Drosophila melanogaster: one gene and its partner. Changing the gene in region 1 together with any one later gene gives a genetic interaction. Each region holds a gene or a part of one and is shown on either strand. Other genes may lie near its edges.

The links.
Region 2: of Nprl3 (region 1) and Nup44A, changing one suppresses a phenotype caused by changing the other (phenotypic suppression), as found in Drosophila melanogaster (one study listed by BioGRID).

The regions. Positions count from the first base shown.
Region 1 is NT_037436.4:13,994,324-14,009,466, reverse strand, and holds Nprl3 (nitrogen permease regulator-like 3), read left to right. Parts: upstream 1-7,586; 5' UTR 7,587-7,677; exon of another isoform or gene 7,678-7,822; 5' UTR 7,823-7,840; coding exon 7,841-7,974; intron 7,975-8,033; coding exon 8,034-9,732; 3' UTR 9,733-10,087; downstream 10,088-15,143. Other genes in the region: upSET, read right to left, coding at 1-1,617; CG17359 (uncharacterized protein), read left to right, coding at 10,285-11,304; CG17361 (uncharacterized protein), read right to left, coding at 11,629-12,261; CtsK1 (cathepsin K1), read right to left, coding at 12,997-13,607, 13,687-14,676, 15,067-15,115. UniProt on the Drosophila melanogaster protein: An essential component of the GATOR subcomplex GATOR1 which functions as an inhibitor of the amino acid-sensing branch of the TORC1 signaling pathway.
Region 2 is NT_033778.4:7,981,245-7,996,930, reverse strand, and holds Nup44A (nucleoporin at 44A), read right to left. Parts: upstream 8,470-15,686; 5' UTR 8,422-8,469; intron 8,400-8,421; exon of another isoform or gene 8,304-8,399; intron 7,416-8,303; exon of another isoform or gene 7,217-7,415; intron 7,100-7,216; 5' UTR 6,979-7,099; coding exon 6,868-6,978; intron 6,807-6,867; coding exon 6,369-6,806; intron 6,273-6,368; coding exon 6,064-6,272; intron 6,004-6,063; coding exon 5,697-6,003; 3' UTR 5,648-5,696; downstream 1-5,647. Other genes in the region: Hey (Hairy/E(spl)-related with YRPW motif), read left to right, coding at 468-1,270; Dic3 (dicarboxylate carrier 3), read left to right, coding at 2,004-2,416, 2,587-3,037; ACC (Acetyl-CoA carboxylase), read left to right, coding at 11,170-11,329, 11,480-11,865, 11,929-12,050, 13,924-14,290, 15,459-15,686. UniProt on the Drosophila melanogaster protein: Probable component of the nuclear pore complex (NPC). Involved in maintaining the localization of another nucleoporin Mgtor to the nuclear envelope of early meiotic female germline cells.

The DNA of each region.
Region 1 (15,143 bases):
GACCGTGATGAACGAAGCGGAGGAGACCGGCTTTGTGCCGGCTGCCTGATAGTGGGCAAGCAGCATATTGCCGGATGCATTTCCACCCGGACTACTTGCAGCGGCCCCGTTGCTGGTGCTGTTGCTATAGATGATTTGGGTGGGTGGTGGCATGTTGCCGCTGCCAGTGGCGGGAACCTGATGGAATCTTTGCTGCTGGCTAAACGACTTCTGGGCCATGCTCTGCAGGATGCGGGCAGACAGTTCGTCGGTCATCTGAGTTCCATTGACGATCATAACATCATCGGTTATCAGTGAGGAGTTCGCTACAGCGTGCTGCTCATTGTCGCTACTCCCGCTACTGTTGTAGTGGGTACGCTTTGTTGCCTGCTGCTGTTGGGGGTGCTGCTGGATAACTGTGCCATGTGAGTTGACAAACTTAATAGTTCCTCCGACGGCGGCCTGAGACTGCTGCAGAAGATATCCTCCTCCGGTGACATTCGGCGACGCTTTGTGCTGCAGTTGCGTTCCCTGCGGTAGGCTGATCTGCTGTTGCACATACTTGCTATTCAGTTTAGTTACCTTCGCGGGTGTCGACGTGGTGACCATTGACTGTTTGGCGTAGGTAGTTTGCTGCTGCTGTTGGGGCAATGCAGCAATGGACAAGGCAGTCGTCTGTTTCACAAACTTTGCCTTGGCCCCCGCCTTGTAGGTTTGCTGCTGTTGCTGCTGCGTGATAAAGGTTTTTAGCTGCTGAGCCTGTAGTAGTTGCTGCTGCTGTTGTTGTTGCTGCTGTTGTTGCTGTTGTGACATATTGCTAACACTCTTGACCGTGATCTTTTGATTGGCCTTTTTGAGCAGAGCAGCATTCCCACCTATCGTTGTCGCCGTGGCATTCACATACTTTGGTTGCGCCGGCTGCACCATTATCTGCGACGGTGATGCCGGGACGTACGACTGGAGACGGGTTGCCACTCTGGAGCCCAAAGTCACTTTCTGTAGGGTAGCATGAGGATGTTGTTGCTGCTGCTGATGTTGCGCCTTAAATGCGCTGATGCTGCCAAACTTCTGGGGCTGCTGCTGCGTCTTAGCCGGCGACGCACTCACATACGGCAGACTCTTGGCTCCCAGATAGTTGAGCTGCTGCTGCTGCTGACCGGCTGCTCCTTGGACTGGTGCCTGTTTGGAGAGCACAGTGAGATTACTAAGCAACAGTTTGGAGTTGTGCGGTGGTGCCGCAGCTGATGCGTCAATGATGACGTTGCTGGTGCTACCGTCCGTGGTCACAATCTTGTAGATCTGGGGATTAATTAGCTCCTGACCGGAGCTCCCCGAAGAGGCTGCCCCCGCAGCTAAAGCTCCGGTTCCGGCTGCTGTACGCACCGCGTACTTTTGCGACTGATTGATCGACTGAGACTGGCTGGCGCTAAGGATCTGGCGCGTACTTATCGACATGCGACGTTGCATGATGCGCAGTTGTGCCTGTGTGGACAAGCTGCTGCCATCGATGACGATATGAGGGGGTGGCGGCTGTGGCCCACTGGCTACTCCGATGCGATTTATGCTGCTGGTGCTGCCGCCGCCACTGCTACTGACAGCAGGCTCCACGAAAACCGAGTCGTGACTGGACATGGGCATGGTGGTGGTGCTGCGGCAGTTTGGTCCGCTAACTAAAATTAGACGTGTGTTTACAGGGAAGGAGCCTTGGCTCGGCTTGAGAGTTCACTCTTTTGATAGAGTATGGTTTCGGTCTCGATTTAGTTTCTATTTCACAACACTACTTCACAGATAAAGCCGTCATGTTGCTGCCGGTTCTGCTGATGCAGATTCTGCTCCTGCTGTCGCTGGGCCTTTGTTGACGTGCCCCCAAAACATTGGGGGCTCAATGCATAACCTCTGGCTCTGGCACGGATGACGGAAGCTGAAACTCCCAGTGGTGACAACTGTAGGCGTAGGCGGTGGTGCGCGCTCGATTTGCATAGACGGTGTCCAACTCTGTGCCACATCACATTGTCAGCCATCACAATCATAACGCTGGGAGAGATTCGGCAACTTCCACTGCGTGCTCCCCGGCTTCTTCGCTTTTGCGTCCTTTGTTTGACTCCCTGTATACGGAGCCTTATCCTAAAGCTGATCCAATCTCGCAAAACTAATAGTCCCGCCCAATTGATATTGCGTTGTTGTCCGTCGTTGTATGTTGGATATTGAATTCTTTGGATACGGTCTTTCCATAAACGATATTTCGTTGTATCTGCAATGAGTAAAAATATAACTATTAAATATAGGCCATACAGAACTATTAACAATAAAAAGTACCAATTTAAAAATTAATTCTTAGCTGTTTTAAACAAAAACGTGGTAAACAAACAAATGTAAAATAATGTTAGAAAATAATTAAAGCAAAAAATTAAAACAAGGATGCATATCTTCGGATGTAAAGTTCAGATTTTATTTTCTAGTGTACCACGGGTACATTGCCTTTATCGATAAAAGTTAAGGAGCTCATCTCTATTATCCAGGAGTAGCATTGCCAACTGCAAATCAGATTTGAGTTATGTAACAAAATAAAAAGCACAGCACTGCCAACGGGCGCCAAAAATACGCATGCGCACTTCAAACATCAATATCCGCGTTTATTCTACGTATGTATTTTCGTCTACGCTTTCGGAATGTGCTTCGTGGTGGCTGCTGCACTTGCTGTAAACTTGAACGCAGCATCACGGAGCGGAAAAGTGGAAAAGCAGCGAAACAGCAAAGCAGAAACAGTGTGAAAGGTGCGCCAAAGCTAAAGCAACAAAGGGATTGTGCATTGTTTACACTTGTGTGCGTGTGCCTGAATACGTGGATGTGTGTAGGTGTAGTGTGACCCCCCTGGCCAATAAAAAAAAGCACTAACAACGTTTAGCACTTGTTCATTTGGCTTTTGTGGAAACAAGTTTTCCTATTTTGCTTTTGTTTATCCGCATCGCTGAAAGGCTAATGCAATTTTCCAACGCAATATGCGTCCCAAATCAATTAATAAACATTCGACTATTTTACAAGTTTGCTAACTTGATAAGCTTTGTAAAGGTTAAGATATTACATGTTCTTATACTATGGAATCTACTATTGGGTCACTAATAAATGATTTTTTAATAATTTAAAGACCTTTCATTTTCTATCATTGGAATCAATTTACTAAACGTTTTTAAACGCTTACACCTCAAAAAACGACCGTCTCTGAAAGATGTCGACATTTGCCAAGTACTGCCACTGTTCTCTAATTCTCTAATTTACTGCACATTCCGGGCGTTTGCCCCGTCATTCGCATTGCAAAGCAGAGAGCCAAAGCAAAAAAGCAAAGCGGAGCGAAAAGTGAATGCACTAATTTCGCCTTGGCATCCGGCGCGGCATTCATCGCTAGTAGTTTTCTTCTTCTTGTTTTTCTGTTGTCGTTGCTTTTGTCGCTGGCTTTTTAGTTTCTTGTATCTATTACACATTACACAGGCCACTTGCACTTGGGCATATCTGCCATATCCCACCTGCGTGTGTGTGCGACTGCTTGTGCGATTGTGCTGGCAGCCAATTTGCGCCTATTGTAGATACAGTTTCTAATTGGAATAGAGAATGGGGAGCAGCGCAATTGATTCCCCAATTGAATAGTAAATCTGGGAACGAAATGCTTATGTAACCATTGGGTTACTGCCTATAGATTGTGGGATACAAGATGCAACTACATATGTAAAGGCCACCACCAGGTTAATCGATAAAACTGATTTTTCAACTTCAAGCTGCGTTTTGATAAGCCAGGATGTTGAGCTTAGAACTCTTTGATAGTGACTGTGGTATGCATTTCTCATTTCCGTTACATGTTTTGTTTCATATTTCTCAATGGGCCACAAAAGATAACGCCACACATAGAGCGGTTGGGGCTGTCGTAAATTTTGATTTGGGTTACAAATACACACACTAGCATCGACGCTACATCTCAACATTTAGAAAGAATCTTACAATGCTCTTAGTTAAAAATACACACGAAAGAGCGAGGGGCGAAGGAGAATTTGGTTCGCTCATCGTCGGAAAGAAGGTGAACTACACTCACACACACGCACGTGTGCGGGACCAACCCTACCCCAACCCCAACAAATACTACAACAACAACAACAACAACATCCGCAAGTAAAATGCGCGCCATAAACAAATTACACACAAGCTCACACAATAAGCCCCATTCGCGCGCATTATCGGTTCGTGGGTGTGAGCAAGACAGCAGCAGATCCCCGTAAATCGTGCCTGCAAATGCACGTTGAAACTTATCGCGAGCACACAAACACATGAAAAGTGGCCACGGTGCTTTCGTACAGGGGCGGTTCCAAGGGGGTTCATTTGGGATATACATATGCGCCAAAATCTAATTCATTATATCAACAAAATATTATCGAAAGAATTAAGTTTTGTTTGCTGTTTTCTTTAAATTCCGAGAGCTTCCCCGCAAGCAGGATTTTTAATCCGCCACTGCTTTCGTGTCGTTTTTGTTGGGGATTTCTTTTTGTTGCTATGGCTTTTGTTGCATCGCTAGATGAAGTAGAACAAATACAAAGCTTATCGAGGCTCGCAGACGCACACATCTAAACGAGTGAGTCGAAAAGAGAAAGACTCCTATTGTGATCTACGGAATAAAAATGAACCTACAATTAAAAATAGTAATGCTGCTCATATTAGCTTGTTGACCAATGGACTACGTGACTGCACAATATCAGGGGCATTGCTTTGGCTGTACTTTCATTGAAACAGTCGCCAAGCGTAAAATGGGTTTTAGTTTTTGCATACCAGCTACAAAGTGTCAACTTTAATTGCGTCTTATTTTAATTCACTTGCTCGCTAGTTCTGGTCCGTCTAATTCGGTCAATTACTAATCAAGAATTGAGACTGCATGGGATTTTATTATGGATATTACACCATTAAAAAAATCTGTGGGGTTGGGAGGTGGTTTTAGGGGGTTGTGGCGGTTTGGTTTCGTTCCGCGACAACCTTTGAAATTATCGAATGGCTTAGCTTTCGCGAAATAATATTTTGACGATGGTCTTGTCTGCGCTGCGCAGAAAATAACGAAAGCCGAGCGCAGGCAAAAAGTTGTCTATCAACTTTTGCTTTCATTTTGTGGCGAAAATTCGCGCGTACAAAGCACAAGGCATAAATAACAATTGCAAAAATCACGTATGCGCAAAGAGCAGAACAGGAACATTCGAGCAATGCCTGTAAGCGAGAGCGAGACCACCATAGCTCTCCCCACACACACACTAACACTTAGCTATGTTAACTGCGGCCAACTTCACGGCGTACAGGCGTGTAAACGCTGGAGCACGCAATAAAAAGTTTGACGAAAACAGGGCGAAAGAAAATAAAATAAAAACTATATAGCTCTGTGCTAACATTCTGGATAATGGGAACAACATGGCGTCGTCGATATCGTTCAACTAATTCTCATCAACTTTAATTTCACTTTGCGGTCGATTTGTTGTTAAGTTTTTCCGACTAGCTGATGCGCATGTCAAAATTTTGGTAGAGACAACAAAAACACTGCACGGCATACACATTGCAATCCAAATGCGGAGGGGTGTGCCAAATCGAAATATGATTTTAATACTGATTTAGATAATCTCCTTAGAAACTCGAGCAAAACAAACTAAAAACAACTTGAAATTTAACAAAACAATTGCTTCGGGTTGGCAACTCTGTGCGAGGGGCATAATACGCACATCTACCTTCACGTTGCACAAAACGGAATCGAAAGCAAAACAAATGAACCCGCAAAGCTGTGCGAGCGAGCACGCTATACTGACGGTTAGTTGAAAAAAGAATATGCAATCAAATATGGCGACACACAGTATGCAAAAAAAAAAACCATACAAAATCGACGCATCAACAAATGAAATATTTATTTAACTGGCTCGACTCAAAATAAAATCTGAATTTCATATATATGTGATCCAATAGATATGTATAACCCATTCGACTGTATATTTTTCGATTCAAAATATTTCCGATTTGGGCGCGCACTCACATACAAACACACACACTAGTTTTACTCACCGTTTACTCTGTTATTTTGAATTTTCACTTCATTTTGCACAACTTAATTTAATTTAACGACAAGCTACGTGGTTTATTTTTTATTTCGAAACTTTATATTTCAATTTTATAAATACAAATTAAATTTGTATACACTTTAACACTGGTTCTTTTTTGTTCCGTTGCACATTGTTGATTTGCAGCATTTAAGTGATGGCGCGACGTTGTTTCGAACGTTTACTACCTGCACAAATTAAAATGTTTCTACTTTGATTAATCAATTTTATTATTATTAATACCGTATGGCACAAGAAGCAGAAGACAAAACGCGCAGGAAAACACATAAACTGGGATTGCTTAAGACGTGTGTAAGAGCGAGACGACCAGTCGGTTTGAGCAGACCATATAGCTAGTGTGACCGTTCTAGCCTATGGACAAGACATGCCAACTGACTATTATCGCCTATTTTATTTTGTTCGCCTGCCCTGCTTCTTCTTCTTGGTTTTTGTGTTGCGCTGTTTCCCTGTTTAGCCTATTACTACTGCGCCTGGCCATTCCGAAATGCTGTACGTACATATTTCGATTTCGCCTTTCCGCCTATTCGTTGATACCCACACAAACGTATATCTGTGCATGCCTTTCTACGTAGGTATGTGTAAAATCTATACACACGGATGTTGGCGCACATATACACAAAAAGTAAAATAGTTATGTTATTAACTATTTAACCACAAGCTATTTACATTTTAGGCACTTATTAATCCTATTTTCCAAAATACAAGGAATAGATACAGAAACGAAGACATAGTAGAAAAACAAACCTACAAGTAAATGACAATTAGTTGAAATTAACTTATTGGCCACCATACTGCCGAAGAGTGCGAAACTAATTCAGAAGCGAACCACTCAGCCAAGTAAACTATATTTTTTTGTAGAATTAGTTATACCTCTCCTACACTCACACAAATATTATATATATGTATATATAGACCGCGGCTAGTACACGTTTAGCGTCGTCTCGCTCCCACCTACGATCCGCACGTATTTTGCCTCTCACAATGTGTGTGTTTTCCTCTTTTCCAACACGCTAATAAGAAATCGTCATTTTTAAAAGTGCTTTTACAGCCAAACTAACATGTTTCACAGGGGAATTTCATAGTTCTGCGATTGCCGCGTTCGCATACTACGCTCCCAGTTATTTTCACAAATTTTTTGTTGACGTTTCGAGCACAATTTCCACACGTTTTGCTCACAACTTTCCGCTTCTAAAAAATTAGAGACTGACCAACCGAAGACGGTCACACTACAGCGGAGCGATAGATCGTTATCGCTCGACCAGGGATCCTATACTATTAGCCTTGCCGATATATATTTATTTATATAGTAAGACCGTTTTTCGTTTAGTATTTTTTAGTTTTTGAATATATTATCTAAGGTATCTATGGTAAATTTAAACGATTTAAAAAAATTCCATTGCGTTGCATTTATATTATTGTTTCGCCTGCAAAATGAAAACTGACATGACTACTATTTTAAATAAGTTTTTGGTATTTTATGCAAACTAAAAGAGAGCCACACTGCTGTAAATATATTTTATATTTTACATTTATTTACTTTGCTTCCATTTCTCAATGAAGTCAAATTGAGGTACTAATAAATAAATAAAGAGTTGTTGAGGTAGTTTCTGTAGCAAACTACGATTTATAAAGTATTTTTGAAAACATAGCCAACTATTTGTTGACCCTGACCCCAGTTGATAATGCAAATGTTCATATTTTAATTTACATAAAAGGGGAAGTGTCTGTGTGCCATGGAAACTAATGTGAATCCCCTGGCCGTAATCCTGGTTTACTTCGATAGCAAGGGGGATCGGTTACTGTACAGGTATCCGTACCAGACTCTCGGCCAAACGGAGGTGGCCAACGACGAGCAGCGGAAGTCCAGGTACTACCTATTAATTCAAAGGGCACTCAGCTTGACTATACCGATTTATTCAATCACAGAAAGCGCAATCCCTATGCCGTGGCCAATACGGACGATCTGCTGCAGACACCCACCCACTTGGGTGCTGCCAAGAGCCAAGGACAACTGCAGGGATTCGCAGATGAGGTCCTGTCCGCTCTGTTTGCTGTTAAACCACAGCTATGCAACCAAAAGTTTGAACTCAAACTGAACGACGTACGCTTTGTCAGTCATCCCACTCTGATACCGCAAAAGGAGCAGAGAAGTGGTCCAATGGCCAAGCAACAGATGCTCATCAACATTGTTTTTGCGCTGCATGCACAGGCCAGCTACTCGATTGTTAAGTGCTACCACGAACTGAGCAAGCGCCTTGGACTGGCGCTGAAGTTCGAGGAGCAGCGCAGTGGCTATCTCACCGAGCAGACGGCTCAAATGGCTCGCACACACGACGAGCAGCAGCAACAGCCGCTGGAACGCACACTGGAGCTGATTGCAGAGCGCTGCAGCTTGGCACAGGCCTTGCGCTCCATCTTCCATGATCTATGCACCACTGGACTGCTGAGTACCTCGCTGAATCACAACCTAACGTTGTGCTTCTGTCTGCCCGCTAAGGCACACCAGCTCCATAAGAAGGGCAGCATGGTGGATCCAGAGACCATAGATCGGTGCCTTCGTGCACTGAAGCCCTATCATGGCATGTTGCTGCTGGTCGACTTTGCCGAATTGTTGGACTGCGTTCCACCGACTGGGGCACGCATGCTATGGCAGCTAGTCGACGTCTACGACCCACTGATCAGTCTGCAGAGCATGTCCTCCAATGCAGACTTGAGTATCGAGCATGTTTATAAGCTCGTCTCGCATTTGGTCTACTGGGCTAAGGCAACTATTATTTATCCACTCTGCGAGACAAATGTCTATGTGATCGCGCCGGATGCACCATTGCACACCAAGTCCCACCTGGTGGAGAAGTTCTCGGCCCGTTTTGCCGGTATGTCGCTGTTCGAGGTGATCTCCGATTTTTCATTGCCCACTTCAATTGGACACTTAACCACGCCACTGCAGCAGCCAGCGCGACAGGGTATCCTCGCACAAATGGTGATTTGGATGCTGCAGCACCATTTGCTCATGCAGTTGCACACGTACGTTCAGTTTATGCCCAGCGAGGATGAATTCGGAGATTCGGCCTCCTGCAGCAACCATCTAAGGGATGCCATTAGCGATGAAGAAGGAGACCAAGAACCAGATGCGGACGAGTTGCATGGCTCCATGCTTAGCATGTCCAGTCATCCGTTGCCAGTGCCAGCGGTATTGGTGGGCGGACATCGTCGTGAGGCGTCCGAGGACCATTCATCACTGGCCTCGGACAACATCGCCGTGCAGCCATCATCCAGCCACAAGTCCAATTTCAGCATCACCGCCTCGATGAGCACGGACAATTGCGACAGCCTCGATTCCATGGAGGATGAGCAGAAGCTGAAGGAGCTGCTACAGGTTTTCAGCGATGCGGATCGAGCCGCCATCCGTCGAATTCCCGCCTCTGCCAACGTGGATGATCTATCTCTGCTTGTGAAGCTGTATCAGATGGGTTACTTTAAGAGCGAGCATCATCTGGAGGAGATCATGTACTTCGAGAACCTGCGACGTTCGCAACTGCTGCAATTGCTTGATAAATTCAGGGATGTGCTTATCATTTACGAAACCGAAGATCCTGCAATTGCATCCATGTACAATACCAAGTAGAGTTTGGGACGAATTTGCATTCCTAGATTTTAATGTTGAATGTTTTTGTTTAGTTTTTGAATATAATCTATAAAATAGGTATGCATCTAATTTTGTAAAGTTTGCGAAGCAAATCAATTTACGCTTGTAGACTACATATTTTGTTATTTATTTGTACAAGCAAGTTCTTAAGTTCAATTCAATTATTGTCAAACTATGTTTTTCCGTGATTTCATACAAATTCAAAAAATTACTCATATTCAAAACAGCGTTACATTTTAAGCTTCGCGCCCATTGTACAGCTTTAAGGTATATCGATAAGTGGGGAATATTCTGATGCTCTAAGAGCCAGATTAAAATAAAATATTTAAAAAATACGAAAAACCCATTTTTAACTTAAAAAAACAACTTTAAATCATAAATCAAAGCTGATAAATTAATAAGATGCGAAGCACAGCTGATTATTCGGTATTTTTTTGTTGGTATATTCCAGTGATTGGTATTTTAATAGTTGCATTTTGTTGATATTGTATATTTTTGATCCTGCCTACGAAACTCTGGAGCTCGGCCACGATGGACATTTCGCAAATGTGCCGCGTTTGCAGGGACGAATCCGACTGCCTGTTGGATATATATACAGAGCCATATGCCTCCTCCAATCGGGTCCAGGAGCAGGAGCCGGTCTTGGCCACAATGCTGAGGGAATGCAGCGGATGCAGCGTGCATAAGGAGGACGGAATGCCGCAGTTCATCTGCGTGGAGTGTGCGGAGGCCGTAAGAAATGCCTATCGGCTAAGACGGCAATGCCGAAAGAGCCATCAGTACTTTGAACAGCTGCGTCTGATGATGAAGGAGCTGGACGATATAGAGTATTGCCTGAATATAGGGGATAACATAGAACCACAGATGCCGGTCTCGGTAATGGAAGCTGGTAAAACGCCGGAGACATCCGAACCTCTTTTAGTTGAGCTTGTGCAGGTTAAGTACATGCCTCCAGAGCCGAAGCCAATATCTTCTCCTCTTCCAGACAACAATGAGCATAAGCTCGCGCAAAGTTATTCTCCAGCAAAGACGCCACACAATAAGTCCAAGAGGAGGGCGAGATCCTACTCGGACAATGACTCATGGAGCCCGGATAGTGAGCTTGAACACGAAGATGATGATAAAATCTGGAACGCCTCAAAACGGGGCAAACCGAAAAGGGTTCCCGGACCATATCGGTGCAAGCTCTGCACACAGTCGTTCACCCAAAAACAAAACCTAGAGATTCACATGCGCATACATACTGGCGAGCGACCCTACAAGTGCTCCCTATGTCCGCGATCCTTTGCCCAGAAGGGCAACCTGCAGAGCCACACACGTTGTCACACCGGCGAGCGTCCCTTCGGTTGTCCGAACTGCCCCAAGCGCTTCCGGCAAGTTGGGCAACTGCAAGTCCACACCCGGACTCATACTGGCGAACAGCCGTTCAAATGTTCCAAATGTCAGCAAAGCTTCAAGCAACTAAACGGCCTACAAAAACACATGTCAGCACACACGCGAGGGAAGCGACGGACGAGCAGCCAAGAAACAAAAAGAAATAAGTTTAAATAGTTAAGATTTGTTAAAGGTATTTTCATATATTGAATGTCCATATAATAATTTCTTGTTTGAAATCGACAAAGCTAGTAATCGCAACCAAAGTGAGAAAGCTGCTTAAAAACTGTTGTGAATCGATCCGATTATCATTTCTTTATTATCTTATTGTCAATATGAGAACATGAAATTGTTTTTAAAACTACACTCCATATGTACTTTCATTATTAGTCGCTAACTTGTTTCTACTTTAAAAATATATCGAACTTATTTTTAAAACGATGATACAAGATGATTAATTACTATTTTAGTTGGCTACATTTTGCCAAGCGTTGCCAAGGACTATTTAAGAGCTTTTCGTCTGGTCCTTGTGGATCCTTTGGTGTGGGTGCGCCTGTGCATGGTCAACTGGGCCTTGCCGGTGAAACTTTTTTGGCAGTCGGTGCATTTGAAGGGCCGCCTCTTATCCACCTCGTTGCGAGTCTCCTTCTTCGGCTGCTTATCGTTCCGGTCCCCATCGTCCTCCTCCTCCTCCTCCTCGCTCTTGATGCGATCCGTAAAATCCCAATCCTCGGCCTCCAGGAGATCGCATGTCTCCTTGTCGCTTTGCTCCCTCTTCACGCGCGCCACGTATTCCATGGTCCTTGTGTAGCGTCTCCTGAATCTCAAGGCCTCACGCAATTTAATAAGGCACGGTTCGCAAATTTTCAGCGGAAAGCCGTCCCCGGTATCCACTGGATATGCGCTGCAGATATTCAGCAAATCAGCCGGCGTGGGCTCCGGTTCCTTGGTTCGCTGTAGATCGTCGCTCAGTCTGTCCCCCAAGCTCTTGTTGTCGTAGATGTCTAGCAGGTCCTTCGGCTCGTCCATACACACCCGGCACATCTTCACCAATTCATCCATGGCTTCGTTGCTTCCTTCGATTCCAAGCAAATACAATTCAAAAAGAATAACTAAACTGTATCGGATGACCATCAAGCCAAAACAGAAAAATACCAATTGGCGCAATTCCAGGGATGCAACATCTATGCCAATAAATATGTATTTAAATTTAGACTTATTTGTTGTTATATCAAATTAACTTATAAATATATTATTTAAAATGAACAATTAATCTAAAATGAAATGTAGTAGCAGTGAAAATTGTAGAATCAGTTGAAAGTATTCTTCATGTTATATTTTTAATTTATTTTAATTGAAAAACTGTAAAACGGGTTTAATGTAAAAATTCAATGCTTTGCTTGCAAGTTTTTTAAATAAGAAGGTATACTTATTTTTAGAATCATTATTCAAAGTAAAGATTCTTAAAACTAATTATATGTTTAATTTAATATTGATGAAATTAAATGATTAAAATTTTTAAAAATGTAGCGAGTTTTTACTGTAGAAATGATTTCCACTACAAATGGCAAAGACCCCGATTCGCATAAAACTGTTGCAACTTGCGCAAAGTTCAACTGGTAACTGGTCATTGTCTTCTAGGCTTATCGGCTTATCGGCATGGAATTAACTTAAGAAACACCATGGACTGCGGAGATAATGACCCAAGCTAAACTTAGCTCCATTTCCAGCCAAGCGGAGCAGTGATAAGATTCAAAAGACTTGGATTACAAAAGAGTTTATGAAATGTATTGCATATTTAGCGCCCTGTGGGCGTAAAAATAAAAAGAGTACACAAAATAAGAAATATGTAGGCGGGAGCGGGACAATCTACATCTCCACATAAGTGGGCATGGTCATAACACCGCAATTGTTCTTCTTGGCCGACATCAGGATGTAGCCATCGTTGCCCCAGTAGGTGGACCACGAGTTCTTCACCAGCCAGTAGTCCTCTCCATTGATCGAGCCATAGCCCACGGCCAAGACAGCATGATCCAGTCCATCTACATCGTTCTTGCACGTTGGCTCATAGTAAACTCCGTGCGAGTAGAAGCTAAATGTCTTGGGAGAAGCATCAATGGCCACCGACAGAGGACCGTGCTTGAGCAGAGCCAGCTTGAAGGCATTTGGATCGTTGGAGGTCACATTGACGAATCCCTTAATAGGTGCCACCAGCGTCACGTTGTTGACGTGACAGTAGCCATCCTGGCCCAGATAGGGACCGTACTCCTCCTCCGTGGGCACTCCGCCGGACTGCAGCATCCACTGGTACACGCGGAAATCCTCGCCACCATCGCAGCCATTGTTGCCATAGGCCCACGAGCAGTCAATCAACGCCTGCTGGGAAAGCCGGACCAGATTGCCGCCATTCTTCAGGAAGAAGGCGCCCTCCAGGTGACCAATGGTGCCAAATGACCAGCACGATCCGCACACAGATTGATCTAAGGGTAGTTTACGTTTTAAGCAATTCAATATTATCAAATTCATCTAAGTAAGTACTTAGGGAATGAATGAACCCACCTTTCACCGGAGTGACAGCGCCGTATAGCCGCCAGTCGTACTGGTCGGGAATCTCGTCCTTGTACTTGGGCACATCATAGGGGAACGGTTTGCCGGTGTTGTAAATGCCCGATGATTTGTATCCTCGTCGTGCCTTCAACTCCTCTTCGGTCTTGTCGGCCAAGTGATTAACGGCCAGCGTGTAGGTGAGTTTGGCCCTGTTCTTTGAGTGGATGTAGCGCAGGTTCTGACGGAAGATGTTCTTGCGATGCTCGTGTTCCGTGTCGCTGTGATAAGCAACTCCGTGCTTGCGCTTGAAATGGTGGAAGGCCTTGTCCACATGCTCATCGGTTCCGGATATAAACTCCTGCATGGGATTGAAGGTGGCATAGTGACCGGTGCCGGGTCCGGGGAATCCGACGCACTGCAGGCTGTCATCGATCTCGAACACCTCGTTGGGAATATCATCGTGCTCGTAGCTGTCATAGTCCAAGTAGTAATGATCGTAGTGCGATCCCAGCAGGGTGTTATAGCCCCTCATCTCGTAGCGCACGGGAATGGGCATTCGGCTGGAGGGATAATGCGGCGACTTCTTGTACCGCACCCACAGCGTATAGATGTTCTTCTTTTGGCCAATTGTCGACTCCAGGCGGAACTTGTCGCACGTGTAGCCCAAAAAGGATTCGGTGCCCACCAGGCTGAAAGGTTTCGCATCGGGCAGGATGCTCTGAATATCGACAGCCTGGTCGGCGGTGCCATTCACCTGCAGACAGGTTAGCTTGTTGTTCTCCGTCTTGGTGGTAATCGGTGCCAGCTTCAGCAGGGTTCCGTACTGACCCTCGCCAGCCAGTTGGTATGTCTTCACCATTCCGCCGTAGTAATCGATGCGGGATCGCCTCGTATTCTTGTCATACCAGGCGTAGAAGGGTTCCGCAATCTCGGCGTACGGAATGTACAGGGTTCCTTTGACTATGTAGTTTGGATCCCATTTCGGCGGATTCGTGGCATTAGCTATTGTCGTTGGCGAAAGTGTGGAGAGATTCAGATGAGAAATGAGCGGGAACTTGACAATAAGAAACGGTAAAGGGCAGCCATCGAGGTTTAAGCTCACGCCATTGCTTATATACTTCGTATATATACAGCTGCGGTCAAAATAGCAGTACATGCCCTTTTACGTTTATTTGATCTAATTTAAAAGTTTAATAAAAACATGTTCTTTTTACTTTTTAAATATACTTCATGGCAAAAAAAATGATGATAAGCTAAAGTTTCAATCCTAAAACGATGACCTCGATTGTTTTAATATATGCATGTGTGCATTAGTTTAAAGCGCACACAAACGCAGAAACAATTACTCTTTGTTTGGCTAAACACTTTAGCATTCTAACGTCTATAACTCACCTGAGAAAGCCAAGCCTGCGAGCAGGGCTAAAGCTAAAAACACTTGCATTCTTGAGAATTCACCAGAGAATTGTCTG
Region 2 (15,686 bases), on another chromosome or scaffold:
TTCAATACATTATAAAAAATTGGAATGGGAAAAACTGCAAGCAGAATCCCTAAACGCAAGCCGCTGTGGGAAACAATTGAGTAACGATATTAAATACAATATGCGGCAAATTATCACAAATCTGGGTAAACAATCCTGACCTGTTGTCCCGAACAGGGTCGAATTGTGGGAAAATTATGATTGCCGTAGGCAAAGCAGGACCACCACCACCAGCGCCAGCCTAGCGCTCAAGTGAATCTCGAATCTCGGGGCTTCCCACGCTCAGTAGCGGCACCACCACGATGGCAACCTTGTAGCCAGGCGCGGGCTTTCACCCCCCGATAGCCACCTCACAACAAGCCATCCCGCCGAAGGACATGGGGGTTGTTCTTTATGCTCGTCGCGTGGGAACAGCTATTTTAATTGTTTGCCTGAACTGGGATTAGACAGCTTATTGACTTTCTCCACCTCCTCGTATCTTGTTGCAGCTCTCGACTCGCTTAGCTATGATCCGCAGCGAGTGGCCATGGACTACCATATCATTGGGTTCCGCGAGTGCGCCGCAGAGGTGGCCCGCTATTTGGTCACCATCGAGGGCATGGACATTCAGGATCCTCTGCGCCTGCGCCTTATGTCCCACCTCCAGTACTTTGTGCAGCAGCGCGAACTGTCGGCCAAGAGCTGCGCCAGTCCGGGTGGCTGGTCTCCGGCTGCTCCCAGCTCCTCCGGCTATCAGCCAAACTGTGCGGCTGCTCCCTACCAGAGCTATGCGGCGCCAGCCAACCCGGGTGCCTATGTGTCCAGCTACCCCACACTAAGTGCCTCGCCCTCTCAGCAGGCTCAGCAACTGGGAGGACGCACCAGTGTCTCGCGGACAAGTGGAAGTGCCGTAACTGAATCGCTGCCCAGCCATGATCTCCACTCTGACAGCAGCAGCCAACAGCAGCAGCAACAGCAGCAGCAACAGCAGCAGCAGCAGCAACACCAACAGCAGCAGCATCAGCAGCAACAGCAACGGACGCAGACAACACCTCAGCCGACGCAGCAGCAACACTATACCCACGACCACAGCGCAGTGCATTCCGAGCAGCAGGTTCCCACCTACATAGAGCTGACCAACAGCAATCGTCCAGCGGCCATAGGTTCCGATAGCCTTAGCTATAGTGCTGCTCCTCAGTATCCGGTCAGCGGACTGCCAGGCCAGGACTACAACAACTCCAGTGTGCTGCAGTACGCCACTCCCAACGGAGCAAAGCCCTATCGTCCTTGGGGCGCCGAGATGGCCTATTGATTGTGGGCATAAGCCTCAGAAGGGATATTTCAACCTCTAGTCAGAGCAGACCAAGTGTGATAGTCTTAAGTTTCGCATCCTACACAGAGAGAAAAAAATGGAGAAACAACGCAGTGAGATTAGCTAGTCCCGTAAGCCTTTAAGCTTAAGTTATACCCTATGATAACTATAACTTTGAACACTTTGTGAATCTATTGTAAATAAACGCATGAGTGTATAAGTGAATATGTTGAAACTCGCTTGATAATTGATATTCGGATCAGGAAAGCCTTTCTAGTTGTTATATTTCGTGAAATCTCGACGTTCATACAGACGGACAGACGGACATGGCCAGATTGAATCAGGTATTGATTCCGATCAAAAATATATATATAATATATAATATATAAGAATATATATAATCCACGAGTAACGGGTATAATTATTAAAAACAATCAAAAAAGTTTAAACAAGTAGTGACGATCCACATTCAAAAATTTGAGGTATATCAATGACGCATACTTTGATTAGTGCTATTATTGGATTATCAGAGAAAATATTAATTTTAACGAACATTCTTGAGGTGCGCTTTGTCACTGCGAGGACTACCAGTTCGCCGTCATAGCGGCTGAATTATCCTTAGCTAAATGGGAACAATTCGTTGCAGCGAAAAATTTACCGAATTCTTTTTAGTTTTACACGTCAGATAGCTTAGGGTTTCTAAAAAAAAATTCCAAGAAATTAAGTTCGGTCTATGGGAGAAGACAGTTCGAGGCGCCTCCCGCGCTGGTGGTTTGGAGGGGTTTGCGCTGCAATCGCAGTCACCGGCACCCATCCGATTGATCTCATCAAGGTACAGCTGCAGACCCAATCCCAAGCGGACCGGAAGACCGTGGGGGAGATCCTTAAAGGCATACACGAGCGGAGCGGAATCTTGGGCTTTTACAATGGCATTTCGGCCTCCTGGTTTCGCCAGCTGACCTATACCACCACTCGCTTCGCCTTGTACGAGGCCGGTAAGGACTACGTCGACACGCAAAAAGTTAGTTCCAAGATGGCCCTGGCCACCTTTGCGGGAATCGTCGGTGGGATTGTGGGTGTACCCGGGGACGTGGTCACAGTGCGACTCCAGAACGACGTCAAGTTGCCGGAGGAGAAGCGACGTAAGTGAGTACTACCGGGGGCTCCTGTACCATAGATCTCCCAGACTTTGTCCATCTGTTCGTTTGTCTTCATCTCCACGTGCTTTTTTGGTTTGCTATTGATAATTAGTCATTAGGACAGCAAATTTCTTCCCCCCATACGTACGAGTCATATAATTAAGACGAATTCCGCAGCTACAAGCACGTTTTCGACGGCCTTTTCCGCATCTACAAAGAGGAGGGCGTGTCCAGTCTCTTCCGCGGCACAGTGCCGGCCGTTTCCAGGGCAGTCCTGCTGACCATCGGAACGAATGCAGCCTACGACCAAGTAAAGCAGATGCTCAAGATCGCAACGGGGGCAGGAGAGGGAGTACCACTGCACTTTGCCACATCCACGATAGCTGGATGCATTGCCGTGGTGATAACGCAGCCGCTCGATGTGATCAAGACGACTTTCATGAACGCCCAGCCGGGGGAGTTCTCCGGGATCGGAGGTGCTTTTCTGAGTACCGCCAAACAGGGCCCATTGGCCTTCTACAAGGGATTCATTCCGGCCCTGATACGAGTGTCACCCAATACGATTATCACCTTCGTTTTGTACGAGCAGGCGCGAATGCGATTTGGATATCTGCCACCTGACAAGTAGGGATGCCCCAAAATTCGTATCCATTTGGCATTTTTACATAAATTGTATTTTATACACGTGATTTGAAAATATAGAATCTTTCATACCAGACCATTGAATCGGAAGTAATCCGGGTCTAATCAGCAGCCACTGTGCTCATTAGCATCGCTGGACCAACGAGAACCGCTGACCGCTGACCATCGACCACCGACCACTAGCCGCTGGTCAGCGAGCTCTGGGGGTCAATGAATGCCGCTCACGGTTTATGAAATTTGCATACCCAGCAATAATAAACACATGAGCACCCAATCCGCGGCGGTTAGCTAAGCCGGCTGCACACTCGCTGCACTCGTAATTAGGGAGCGGGGTTAGCAAGGTGCAGGGGTCGCAACCCCGAACACCACGAGGAACGGGAAATTATCGAGGAAAACTGGAAAGCTGGCGACCGCAGGATCTTGTCCCTGCTCCAGAAACATAATCCCCAAAAGGGAAACAGTGTCACAAAGGTAGCAGGGTTAAAATATTTTAATATACGCTGGCATATTAGTTTAGTTTAGGGTGCTTTCGTAGGCCAAATGTGTTTCTAGAGGGACTGGTGGCTACCTAAGCTGCTCAACATGTTCCCGAAAAAAGGGTTTCTGTTTTGGTTCCAATGGTAAACTAACGAGCAAAACGTTCTAATGACCCAGAAATTAGATGAAAAGCGGTTAAAAACAATGCAATGCAAAATGAAACAATTGTTAGGAATGCTAGTCTAGAAACCTTTACTTAATTCTAAGTTAATTTCCTCAATTCGCATGCTTAAGAATTGAAATATTTATCGCAAATCCCGAGCTCATAGTTTAATTTAATTCAACACACTTTAGCTACTTGTAATTTGTTCTCTTGGCCCACAAAAATCACTTGAAACCAAAATTACAATTACATTGAAACCCAGCAACCGAAATTGCTGTCCATGGAGTGTGGGAACATTGCGAAACACCACCCCTGGCAATAAAAAACGAGAAACAATCTTTTGCGCATTAATTTCTTTTTGCCGGTTAAACACATATAAGTGATTCGGGCGACCTACCACGTTCGCGACCATGTGAGAGACCCCTGAGCTTTGACTTCCCACGCGGCGAGCAGCGCAACCACCACCCACCAGCGATTACAATATGCCCCAGACAGGGGTGGTTCGTCCTGGCCCAGAGATCGGCGTCAACACCATCGCCTTCGACGTAATACACACGTCAAAACTTCCAATTAGAGACAATCATTCGGATCTGGGACAGGGAACTTGTGATACCGAACCGGGGTGGTTTCATCGGTGACTACAAAAGCCATCGAGCTGGTCGGACGGATTTCATTCTTTGGATTACCAGCAGAGCAACAGGATCGCAAGGACGAAGCCCGCGGAGGGGTGGTTGCATATCATTATTATTATTATAGTTTTGTGGTGTCATCGAAAGTGCGATGATTTCGTTTTTATTGCGGTTCGAGTCAATTAAGTGGAATATTTCGCGACATTTCTGAATGCTTTTCCGTGTTAAACATAATAAAAACCCTGTTTTTGGGCACTTGTCGGCGTCCTAGTTAATTTATGCACATGTGGATGGAATGTAAATGGAAGTGCACTTGAAAGGGATTTATGATCCATTTATGTACTCCCGTGTGAGGAGTTAATCGAGAATACATAGCCCATAAATAAATCTCAATAAAATCGATTTGAATGCAACCACTGAACCCGAAAATGCCTTTTCCTCCTCACCTCTGCTGGTCCCGACCCACTCGAATGGGATGGATCTATCTCGGATTTGGCCTGTGCCATGGGGTTTTTTAAAATAGCTAGCACATCAGATCTGCCGCTCTCCCTCAAACACACACATGTGACCGTATGGAGAGTGCTTGCCATTATAGTCACTATCTCTAGTGCTCGCTCTTTCTCGTTGTGTGAACTTTAATTCTGTTTTGATTCTTCGCCTTTCGGGAAGTTGTCCAAAATCAATAGTTGCTCTAGTTTGCCAGCCGGCAGGCAGAAGTTGAAGTAACATCCCATTGTTTTTTTATTAGTTTCTGGCACTTTGGAGCATTGAGAGCTCCACGTTTTGTGATGTAACGCGAAAATGCCCTAGGAAAAGCGATCTGAGGAACACTGAACTGGGGAAATGTGGACCAGAAAGCTATTCATTGGATTCGCAAGAATGCCGGCTTCTAATCCGAGATGTAAGTGGTGGTATCAAAACACACAGGCCTTCCGAATATTCGTTTAGACCCATTTCGTATGGGAAGTATCCACGAATTACGCAAATGATGCGATTCCAACTTTATAGCAAAACGTACAATCCGACAATAACCGAGTAGATTTATTGATTCATGATTCGGGACTACTAAGATTCGTTGTGTCTTCTGGTGCGCGACGAACACTACGTGGACTATTCCGCACAGTGATATAAGTTTGGTTCATGGTGGCACCAAGATAAAGTTTAATCAAAAATATTTTTCTAGAAAATTATCGTTCCACGGAATCTTTAAAACGATTGAATAATGCGTAAACCCATTGATAGTTCACTTCATTAATAACATTAACATTAATACCGTGAACTCTAAACATAACTAAAGAAAACCACTCATATTGAAAGGCAAGCGGCTGAGGTTTAACTTAGGAATTTATTCGGAACTCTTACAATTAAGAACAAGATCAGTGCCACGGCACCTGGTTGCCGATGGTGCCCTTTTTGTAGAACTTGGCCGTGGCCGAGGCGGTAGTGGCCAGTGTCGGAGTGGGCGGAGCAGGCTCGTAGGTGGGTCCGCTGCCCTCTGCCTTCAAGACGGCGGCACAGCGCCACTGCCGGTTGTAGTTCATTCGCCACAGACGCACACAACCGTCGTCGCCCGTGGAGATCAGCATCGTGGCCAGCATATTCCAACAGACGCGCCACACTGGGCAATTGTGCTCGCTAAACTTAATGGTCTGGATGTCCAACTTGGAGATGTCCGTGGCGTCCCTTTAATTATAAAAATTATTATTATTAAATGATTTTGGGTCTTTAAATTGTCGATCTTACGTTACACCCCGCAAGTTCACAATATAAAGATCCTTGCTGGCCACTGCCAGCATGTGAAAGGTGCGTCCGGCATTTGGAGCAAAGGCCACATCCGTGACCGGATCGGTTATATCATTGACAGTATCGATTTTAACGCACTTTCGGGAATTCTCGCTGTAGGCGAATAAGAAGACCTTGCCAGTAGGCGTGGCTGCCTCGTCGCTGCCCGCCTGCAAAATAATTTATGAAAATTAGGCTTATTCTTACTCCACAGATAATAGAATTAATCCTTAATAGACTAAGACTTGGAATTTAAATATACTCACCGCCAGCAGCTGGGTGACCATGTAAGTGGAAGTGTTCCAGGACAAACAGCTCAGCGGCAATTTGTTGCTAATCTCGTGCTGCACGGGCCACTGCGAGAGGTTCATAATGTCCGGGGCCTCATAGATGCGAATAATGCCGTCGGCGGAGGCGGTGGCCAGCAGGAGTCCCAGGTACTTGGGTGCAAACTCCACATCCGTGACACTGGTCCGCGAGTCTACAAGGGTGGTGCGGCGCACCCAGCGGCGAGTGGGGGTATTGGTGGAGGATACCTTTTCGCCAATCACCTCCTCCCAAACGGAGGCGGTGCGATCAAATGAGCATGTGGCCACAACCTGGCCAAATTCCGGGTGCGCCCAGGAAACGCGCCAAATGGAGCCGGAGTGCGCTTTCCAGCTGCTCGTGACATTCCACTTGCCCTGCCCATCCTCGTCCCAAATCTGCAAGCAGAAAATCCGGATCACCTAGGCTGTTTATCGTAGGAATAATTCGAGTCCTCACCTTGACGGTCTGATCGCTGGAACAGGTTGCCATCCTGCGGCCGTAGTAGTCGAAGACCACGTCGTGTATCACATCCTTGTGGTCGGCAATAATGGGTTCCACGTCGAACATGATAAAAACTCAACTTATTTACCGAAATGTTGTTTATAAAATGCACGCGCCGAAAAATCTGCGCCGGTAATGCAGCCCTACAAGGAGAGACAGGGTTGGCTTGCAAACAGCCGCCGAACAGCTGTTGTTTACCTTGCTCAGTATTTTTTCAGTACGCCCAGGCGAACGGTCACACCGAGTTAGTGGTCCGAATTACGCGTGAAATACGAATAAAAAATCGAGCGAAAAATAACAAAACACAGTACTCTAGTCGATCACAAGCTGATAACGTATCAGCCGTGCCACACGCCCATCCGGGATTCGCGAGAACCACACTAGTCGGAGAGTCAGGACTCCAATAGCCGCCAAGAGGCCGTTTTGCACCCGGAAAAGAACAGTTACACACAACAAAATTGCCAACCGAAAGAAACGTGCGAAGCGCAGTGCGATGGAGAAGAGTAAGTGCGGTAATCTAAGCACTAAACGGGTAATTACGGCCCGATCCTATACGATACGATCCGAGCGAAATGTATGCGCATATGTGTATGCAAATGAGTGGGGTGAACAACCCCACAGCATAGTCGTATGTAGATCGGGACCCGCGTTTGTTTAGCATTTGAATTCGCTGGCTAAAGTGCGGATTTCAATCAAAGTGCAATGGGCAGCATAAATTCCAATTGCTTCCATCTGCAATATGCTCAATATGTCTTGCCTTGCTCGCCCTCTCTCGCTCGCGCACTCGCTGCTGACCTTGATTCCTATTGGATTTTACACATCGCGCGATGCCCGTGACGTATGTGTGTGTGTGTGTATGGGCGAGAGAGCAGCATAGCTGCCAACGTGTGTGTATGTCGGCCGGCATCAATTACCTAATAAGAACTAAATTGGAGACTGCATTTCTTGTTGGTATTGTATTGCATAAATACGATATAAGTATATTTATGAAATATGAGCATATCACAAGGACTCGAATCGGAAATTCAATCCAACGCAGTCACTACAAATTCGTAGTATTTTGCTAAGAAATTAAAAAACAATTTAACTGTAAACCGTGCACTTTACAGTGTCTACAAGATTTCAAGTGTGTTATCACGCACAAATCGGTTGTTTGTTGCTCTGTAGAAATCCTAGAGATAAGCACATCGAAATCAGGCGTTTCACACGCGACCGACTTTCGGTTCTATTATTATTTGGCTGTGATATCAGTAGACGGTTTTTTTCTGGCCACGCGCCAAACATGAATAATTCGAACAGAATCGAACACCGAAATACAAAAATTTCCGTGCGATAAGATGCCGGGAAAGATTTGGAATTGAGCCCGAGCCGAAACCATGAAGACCCGTCACCGTTAAGTATTAATCATAATCGGTCGCCAAGGCCAATGCCGAAATCGGAAGATTTTTCAGGCACTCGCCGCCTATCTGAGATTAAAGCGGGCGTCGCGTCGGGAATTTCTTTTATGACTTTTAAAAAACCTCTGCTGATGCCGGGAGCAGCGAGCATCACGGAATGAAAACAAATCAGCGGCGTTCGCGTGTTCTGCTCGTGGCAGCGCACTGAATTCGTTAATAATAATTCGATTCAAGTGCATCGCGCTAATCAATTTCTGGCGTTTTCGCCCATTTAACCCTAATCAGCATCGCTTGCCACTTACGCCAGCAAATTGAGAAATTATGGTCGTTGTTGTTGCTGCTTGCTGCTCCCAGCAGCAGAGTGCATTTCCGTCAGCGGTTGGGTCAACTCCCAGATTAAGTCCAGCTGGAGCAGCAACAACAACAACAGCAGTACCGAATGCCATCGGCGACCTTGACATTGAAAAGCTACCGCCGCCCATGAGACAGAGATACATGGAAGAGAAAAGAGCGGGACGCACTGCTAGTGACAGAGAGGGGTAGACGGTTGTTGGCAACAGCTGATCGCCATCATCATGTCGCTCTTATCTTTTATCAGCCGCAGACCGTTAAGGTATAATTGCTGTGCAACAGTGGAACTTTCCTATAGTGGAACTCACTGATGTTAAGCTGATTGCGATTGCCGCTGGAAGGGCATGCTTTTATGGTTAGTTTTTATGAGTTTTTAGTTTGGAAACTACGCAAAAAATCCAATATAAAACAAAATGTCATTGTAGTTATTCCAGAACTTGTTGAATCGGTATATACAGAAACCTTATTCATCACTGACGACAATAAAGAAATGATTTTGTTAAATATTTCTCTGGTGCCACTGTACCCAGCATTTATTTATTCGGACATTGTTATGGCATAATTGGTTCACAAAAAGATCACTGAAACCGACGGAGCACACTGGTCGTCATTACTTGAGCCACCTTCATAAAAATTGTTATTAATCCGGCAGGTTGCCCCGCTTAATTCGACCGCCTTTCTGTTCGAATTAGTGGCGCTCCTTGTACATATGTAGTTCTTATGTAGTACATAGTGCACATATATTCCTCCTGGTCACTTGGCGCTGGCTGAGCCAGCAATAAGCAAAACAATAACACAACAACAACAACAACAATTGGCTTGGCGACCCGCGAGACCCGCTGGCGATTAACATACGAGCGCAACAACCTGAACACGCACAAACACAGGTCCGCGCACGAAAACCTGGCCGTAGACGTAGTCAAAGCTATAGCTATAGTTGATATTGATAGTGGCGACGCCGAAGTCGGCGTCCGCTGCGCGTTCGGAGAAGCGGCGTTCAGGCATCGATAGTGCTTTTCGGACGAGCATGGCCCAGTTGAGTTCCAATCGTCGGTCACTGCAGTAGCCATCTAGAAATCGTGCGGAACCAGTCAGTCTAGGAAGTTCAAACCGATCCTACACGGTCTACTACAATCCGATCCGATCCGGTCCGACCTCGTCTTCGAAACTGCCATCACAAGCTAAACAAGGGCACACGCAGAGTGGTAAAGCGAGCTGAAACCGTAGATCTAAATCCTAAGACGAACTAAACCCAAAACACAACCGTATCATATCCAGCCAAGGTCCCGAAAAGTGCTGCCCTAGAGATAATCGCACGTCGAGTAAGATTCTTTTGTTTTCGACTGTTGAGTAATGCCAGCAGAGTTCTTATCACAGGATCGGTGGTAAATAAAGCACAATTAAAAGACTCCATCCATTGCGAGGGTGCGCACTAACGGAGCTACTTGAGTACGGGACCGGGCCACACCTGTTGAGTCGTTTCCAGCGCAGAGTGTAACCCAAGTCCCAGTTCTCTGCGCGATTTCCGAGTAAGCGGTTACATAACACCCCGCTGGTTGCCAGAGATCGATTCCGGTGTCCAATCCGACTTTCCGTGTCTTTCAATGCCCGCCGCCTGGCTGGCACACTTACACACGTGCACACATGTATACTGTAATGCCAAAATCATTGACCTCTTCTGCTGGCCATACCACACCGATTTGCATTTCCTCACACCAACCAACCAACTGGGGGGGTTTTGTTTCTGTCAGCTTAAGTTTCTTCAATTTTCCCTTCGCGCTCTTCGCCGTTTTGTTTTAATTTTAAATGCGCTGCACATTGAACCTCATATCCGAAATTAATTTTCGTGTTTTTAAGTTTTATCGCCCTGCCAAAGGGTATCTAAAGTAGATTATTTAGTAGTGAAGCCATCTTTGACCCGGAAACAGCTTGAGCTCCTGTATTTTCGTATAGTATATTGAAAACTTTGATATGTACTTAGATTGAAACTTTTCAAGTGATATATGCAGGTGTAATAGTGTTGATTAAATCGTAATTCGACACCTGTCACTAATTACGTAGTTGCTAAACATAATATTCACTTGCGCCTTTACAACGTACTTTGAAATACTTATTGCATACTTTTGAAGTCACCCGCTTGATCTGTAGATTAGTTTGAATTTCCCGTAGAGTATACCTTATTCGTTGACCACATCTCTTATCAGCTGCCTCATTGACCTGGCAACGATTTATTTTTGGGTCTCATATGGTTGTTTTTTCGGTTTCTTAATTGTATCTCGCAAACTAGTTAATGCATTGATTAGCATTTTCATTTTGTTTTGTTTCGCCGCTTTGGCCTACAATATCGTGGCAAGGTTTTTGAACTTGAAAAGTATCCGAAACAAGATGATGCACAGGCACTTTCACTATCTACACACTGTAAACTAACCCAGCTAGCTGGCCACCAGATAGCAGATTATCTAATCCGATTTGCATTCACCGATTTAAAGCAGCTTTTTGGATTTAGCCGATGTTGATCACGATATTAGGCACTCTGGCTGCTTTTCTCGCATTCCTCTTGACATTGATCTTTGGCCGCGGCCAGAAAAGATCCAAACCCGTCCAATCGTCTGCAGCAACATCCGCCACGACAGCAACAACTGGCGACAGCGACAACGGCAACACCAATCGTAAGAATCCCCCACTTTGCTAAACCGAAACACTTGAAGGGCACACAAATCGCACACCTAGCTGATAACCCAGTTTAATTAGTTCATTATGTGTATACGACTTTTGACCACGACTCACGCGTACCTTGTTTTCCTTATCTCTGCTTACAGACAACTCCAGCGTGATTGCAGCTACAGCAACGGCAACAACCACCAGCAGCAAGCCTCCTATTGCTCCAGCAGCACCTCCTTCGGCGGTAAAAGCGAGTGACAAGCGATTCCCCAAGGCGTGCATCAAGAAGGTCCAGTTCTCCAGCGAGAGCCTCCGGTCCGACGTGGATGAGCTGTGCGACCAGCTGAAGGATAGCGCACTCAGCAATCTGAGCAACGACAACATTCGCATTGCCTGCCACCAGAACAACAACAACAGCAGCATCAACAAGAACCAGAACAACAACAGCATCGACATCAGCATCAGCATCAGCAAGATGAGCGAAACAAATGAGTCCAATGACACGGCCGCCCAATCCGCCGAGGGCGAGCGGCCCAGCTTTTTGGTACGATTCATCATATTTCCCATCTCTTGGCACCATCACTCAGCCACCGTTTCCCTTCCACAGGTGGGTGATGAGATCGACGAGCGGGCCGCCGAGGCGGGCGAGGCATGTGACGAGTTCCCCCTGAAGATGCAGAACGATGTCCGCCAGAATGGCGATATTTCCGAGCGGCGCAAGCGGTTAAGGTAAGTCGATTTGGGTTTAGCCCAAATGAAAATGGGACAGAAAACATCAGAAGTACATTATGGTTGTGGATAGAAAGCCATTTATTAGACAGAAATTTCTTAAATGAGATTGCGGTCTTTATACTTAGAATTAAATACATTGAAGATAGCATAAGGATATATATGAGGACTTTTAATAATCTAGTTTGTTATTCATATGATTATGATAGGCTAAGCAAGCTATTGTATATCATCATGTTTTCTTTGATTTAAATTAGAAATCCAATAACAAATAGCGCTTAATCTAGTTTAATTGATTCAGTTCAGCATTTCCTCCCAATCTTATCTTCATAATGCTTGCAGATTAGGACTTTTTGAATCTGGCAACCCATCCACTTCAATTAAAGCTATTCTTTCATTTAGACACTTGAGAATTGAAGCGTTTATAGCTCAAGATATGCAATCCATCCCCAATGGCGCCCACATTTGCGCTGAGTGTATCGAGCAAAACAAAAACAGGTGGCTGCGTCACAGCCAAACGCCGCCAAACATATCGCGTGAGTTTAGGGAAAAGAGACAGCGAAAAGCTCGCGACCGTGTGTGCGAGTGGGAGGCAGTCTCTCACCCAGCTTTCCGAGAACTTTCGCGGTGCGCAAACATGGAGAGAAAAGTGGCGGCAATAGAGATAGAGAGTGCCATGTGGGAACGCCGCATTTTGTTTTCATTCATATAATGTTCAAAACTCGTTTGGCCAGCGGCTGGCTCGCTCAGCGGCTCTCTCCGCTTCTCCGGCCCACGGGGCGTATGAGCGATGGTGGCCAACACCGCTCTGCGGTTCAGTTCCCTGGCAGTCGTCGGCTCTGTCGGTCCGCAATCCGCTTTCCGCAAACCCCAGAAGTACGGCAGATATACCCCAAGACCCAGCCCGTTTCCCAAATAAGTTTCTCGCGTGTGCGGACCATCGTTCGACATTGATTTTTGTGTGTGAATATTTCGGCCAGCGGAGCGCGGTGAAAGTGGTGCAGTGGCATTAAAATATTTTGTGAGCGGCTCGCTTATTAGTCACACTTGCATAATTGCGAGGAGCCGCTAAAACACCACGACGATCCCCCTGCCAGAGTTCACTTTGGATGCTATTGGCCCTCGTGGAGCTCATTAGAATGTTGAAGCGTCGCGCCAGCAAGCGTTTCGTACTTGTTGAGTCCGGTGAAGATAATGCCAACGGCTCCGGCTCGGCCTCGGGCTCTGGCTCGGGATCAGGAGTGGGAACGGCGGTTATACCCCAATTTGTGGCTGTGGATTGCGGGCAGAACGAGAGCAACAACAACCATGTCGGCGAGATGAGTGCCAGCATCAGCAATCACAATAGCTCCAACAACCAGTCGTCGCCATCGCTGCTCAGTGTGCCCGTGGTGGGAACCCTCAAGTAAATGCCATGTTTAATACCCCATTTGTTTATTGCAACGCGATACTAGTTGACAAGATGTAAACAAAAGCGAATTATGTGCAGATCTTTTGATCATGTCAGCCAAACCGGTTTGTCAAATCTCATTGTGCCTTCCGTTTCTTCGCCACCTGTCCCATCGCGCCATAACTTACACTGGCCAGCATGAAAAGTGTTTTCAGGGTTCAGTTGGTGATGCAGGCAAAGCTTAACTTTTGGCTGGGTAATATAGTAAAAGATCTAAGCAAACATTGAAATCATCATCTTTAAGTATTGAAAGCTCAAAAAAATGTTTTTCAAAGTAAGGTGAGAGTAATTCCTTGGAATTTTACAACCACGTTTATGACCCAGTTTCTTATATAGCTATATTCTCAATTGAAATCTTAGGCCGGTTTTTCCCACATTATATCCCAGCAACTAACTAACTCTCCTTTCCCTGACCTCTTCCAGGCCGAGTATGTCGCGTGGCACAGGGCTGGGCCAGGACCGGCACCAGGATCGCGACTTCCACATCGCAACCACCGAGGAGTTCGTGAAGCGCTTTGGCGGCACCCGAGTGATCAACAAGGTCCTGATTGCCAACAACGGTATCGCGGCCGTCAAGTGCATGCGATCCATCCGGAGATGGGCGTACGAAATGTTTAAGAACGAGCGGGCCATTAGGTTTGTGGTGATGGTCACTCCGGAGGATCTAAAGGCGAATGCCGAATACATCAAGATGGCGGATCACTATGTGCCCGTGCCCGGCGGATCGAACAACAACAACTACGCCAATGTCGAGCTCATCGTGGACATTGCTCTTCGCACCCAAGTGCAGGTGAGTCCGGAATCTGGGGGCCACCGCCATAGAAGTGGCCAGTGTCGGCTGTGCCGAGTTGTCTATTTGCCTTGGCCAGCTCCACCCAAAACGCATCGTACGATTCGTATTTGCACTCCGTCAATCGGGGGAACTGGCAAAGTCAAGCGATCGCCCCGCATACCAATAAAGAGACCCCCTATTCGTATACGAATATGTACTCGTGTGTTTACGAGACGGCCGGCATTTCTAAGCAGATAACTGTGTGTGTGTGTCAGCCAACACTGTGCTACAAAATTAGACAACATACTCCTGGGTAGAGAAGTTTTTAGCGATCTACAGCCCAGTCCCGTTTCCGAAATATATAATATATGCTCGAATGCAATTTAAAGGTATTTTGTGAAAACCTTTGACACTGTAAACGGTTGTACGTGTCAATTGCCAATAAACAAATAAAATTACACGTTTTGAACGGACGACTCACATACAGTTGGAAACAATTAAGATTCGTTAAAAGTGTAAAGTTTAAGTATCTAAGAGCTTCCAAATGCACAGCGTGATTTTACCTTACTGCGTATATTAGCTTTAATCTTTAATTGCAATTCCAAGATCCAACACTAGCTCTTTAGCAAAGTACGCTGTGAAAAAAAAAAAAAATGCGAAAACTAACATATTATTTTCCTACCTGTACATATAGTATATAAAAACCCTGTTGAGTCTAAGTGGCAACAGCTATAAGTAATACAATAGTGTCTGCTTGTTGCAATTTAAGAGTTGTTCGAGTGACAGAAGATTGCCTTCAAAACATTGGATTGCGCACACCTGTAATCTAAAACCCTTCACCATTCCGCCTCCCAACGGAGCTTAGATTAAACTGCATTCGCAGTACTTTCAAGTGAAAATTCAACCTTAGGTGTTTACTTTCCCTTAGATATAGCAGGGCGCTGGGGGTTAATTAGCAGCCGCCGACGACGACGACTCTTGTTGCACAGTGTGAATTATCTATTTTGTTTTGCTATCCGGGTGTTGCCAATGAACGTCGCAATGACGTCACGATTGATTTTTACCGACAATAAAGCTCCATAATTTTCCCCACACCCGCGACGAGTGCGCCGTCCTTGGGGCATTGGGCTTATTAAGTCAAAATGAACTGATTATTAACCTGTGTTCGAACCTTTCTCGATTGCAGGCCGTGTGGGCTGGTTGGGGTCATGCCTCCGAGAACCCGAAGCTGCCGGAGCTGCTTCACAAAGAGGGTCTGGTGTTCCTTGGCCCTCCGGAACGTGCCATGTGGGCGCTGGGCGACAAGGTGGCCTCCTCTATTGTGGCCCAAACGGCCGAGATTCCCACCCTGCCGTGGTCCGGTTCGGACCTGAAGGCCCAGTACAGTGGCAAAAAGATCAAGATTTCCAGTGAG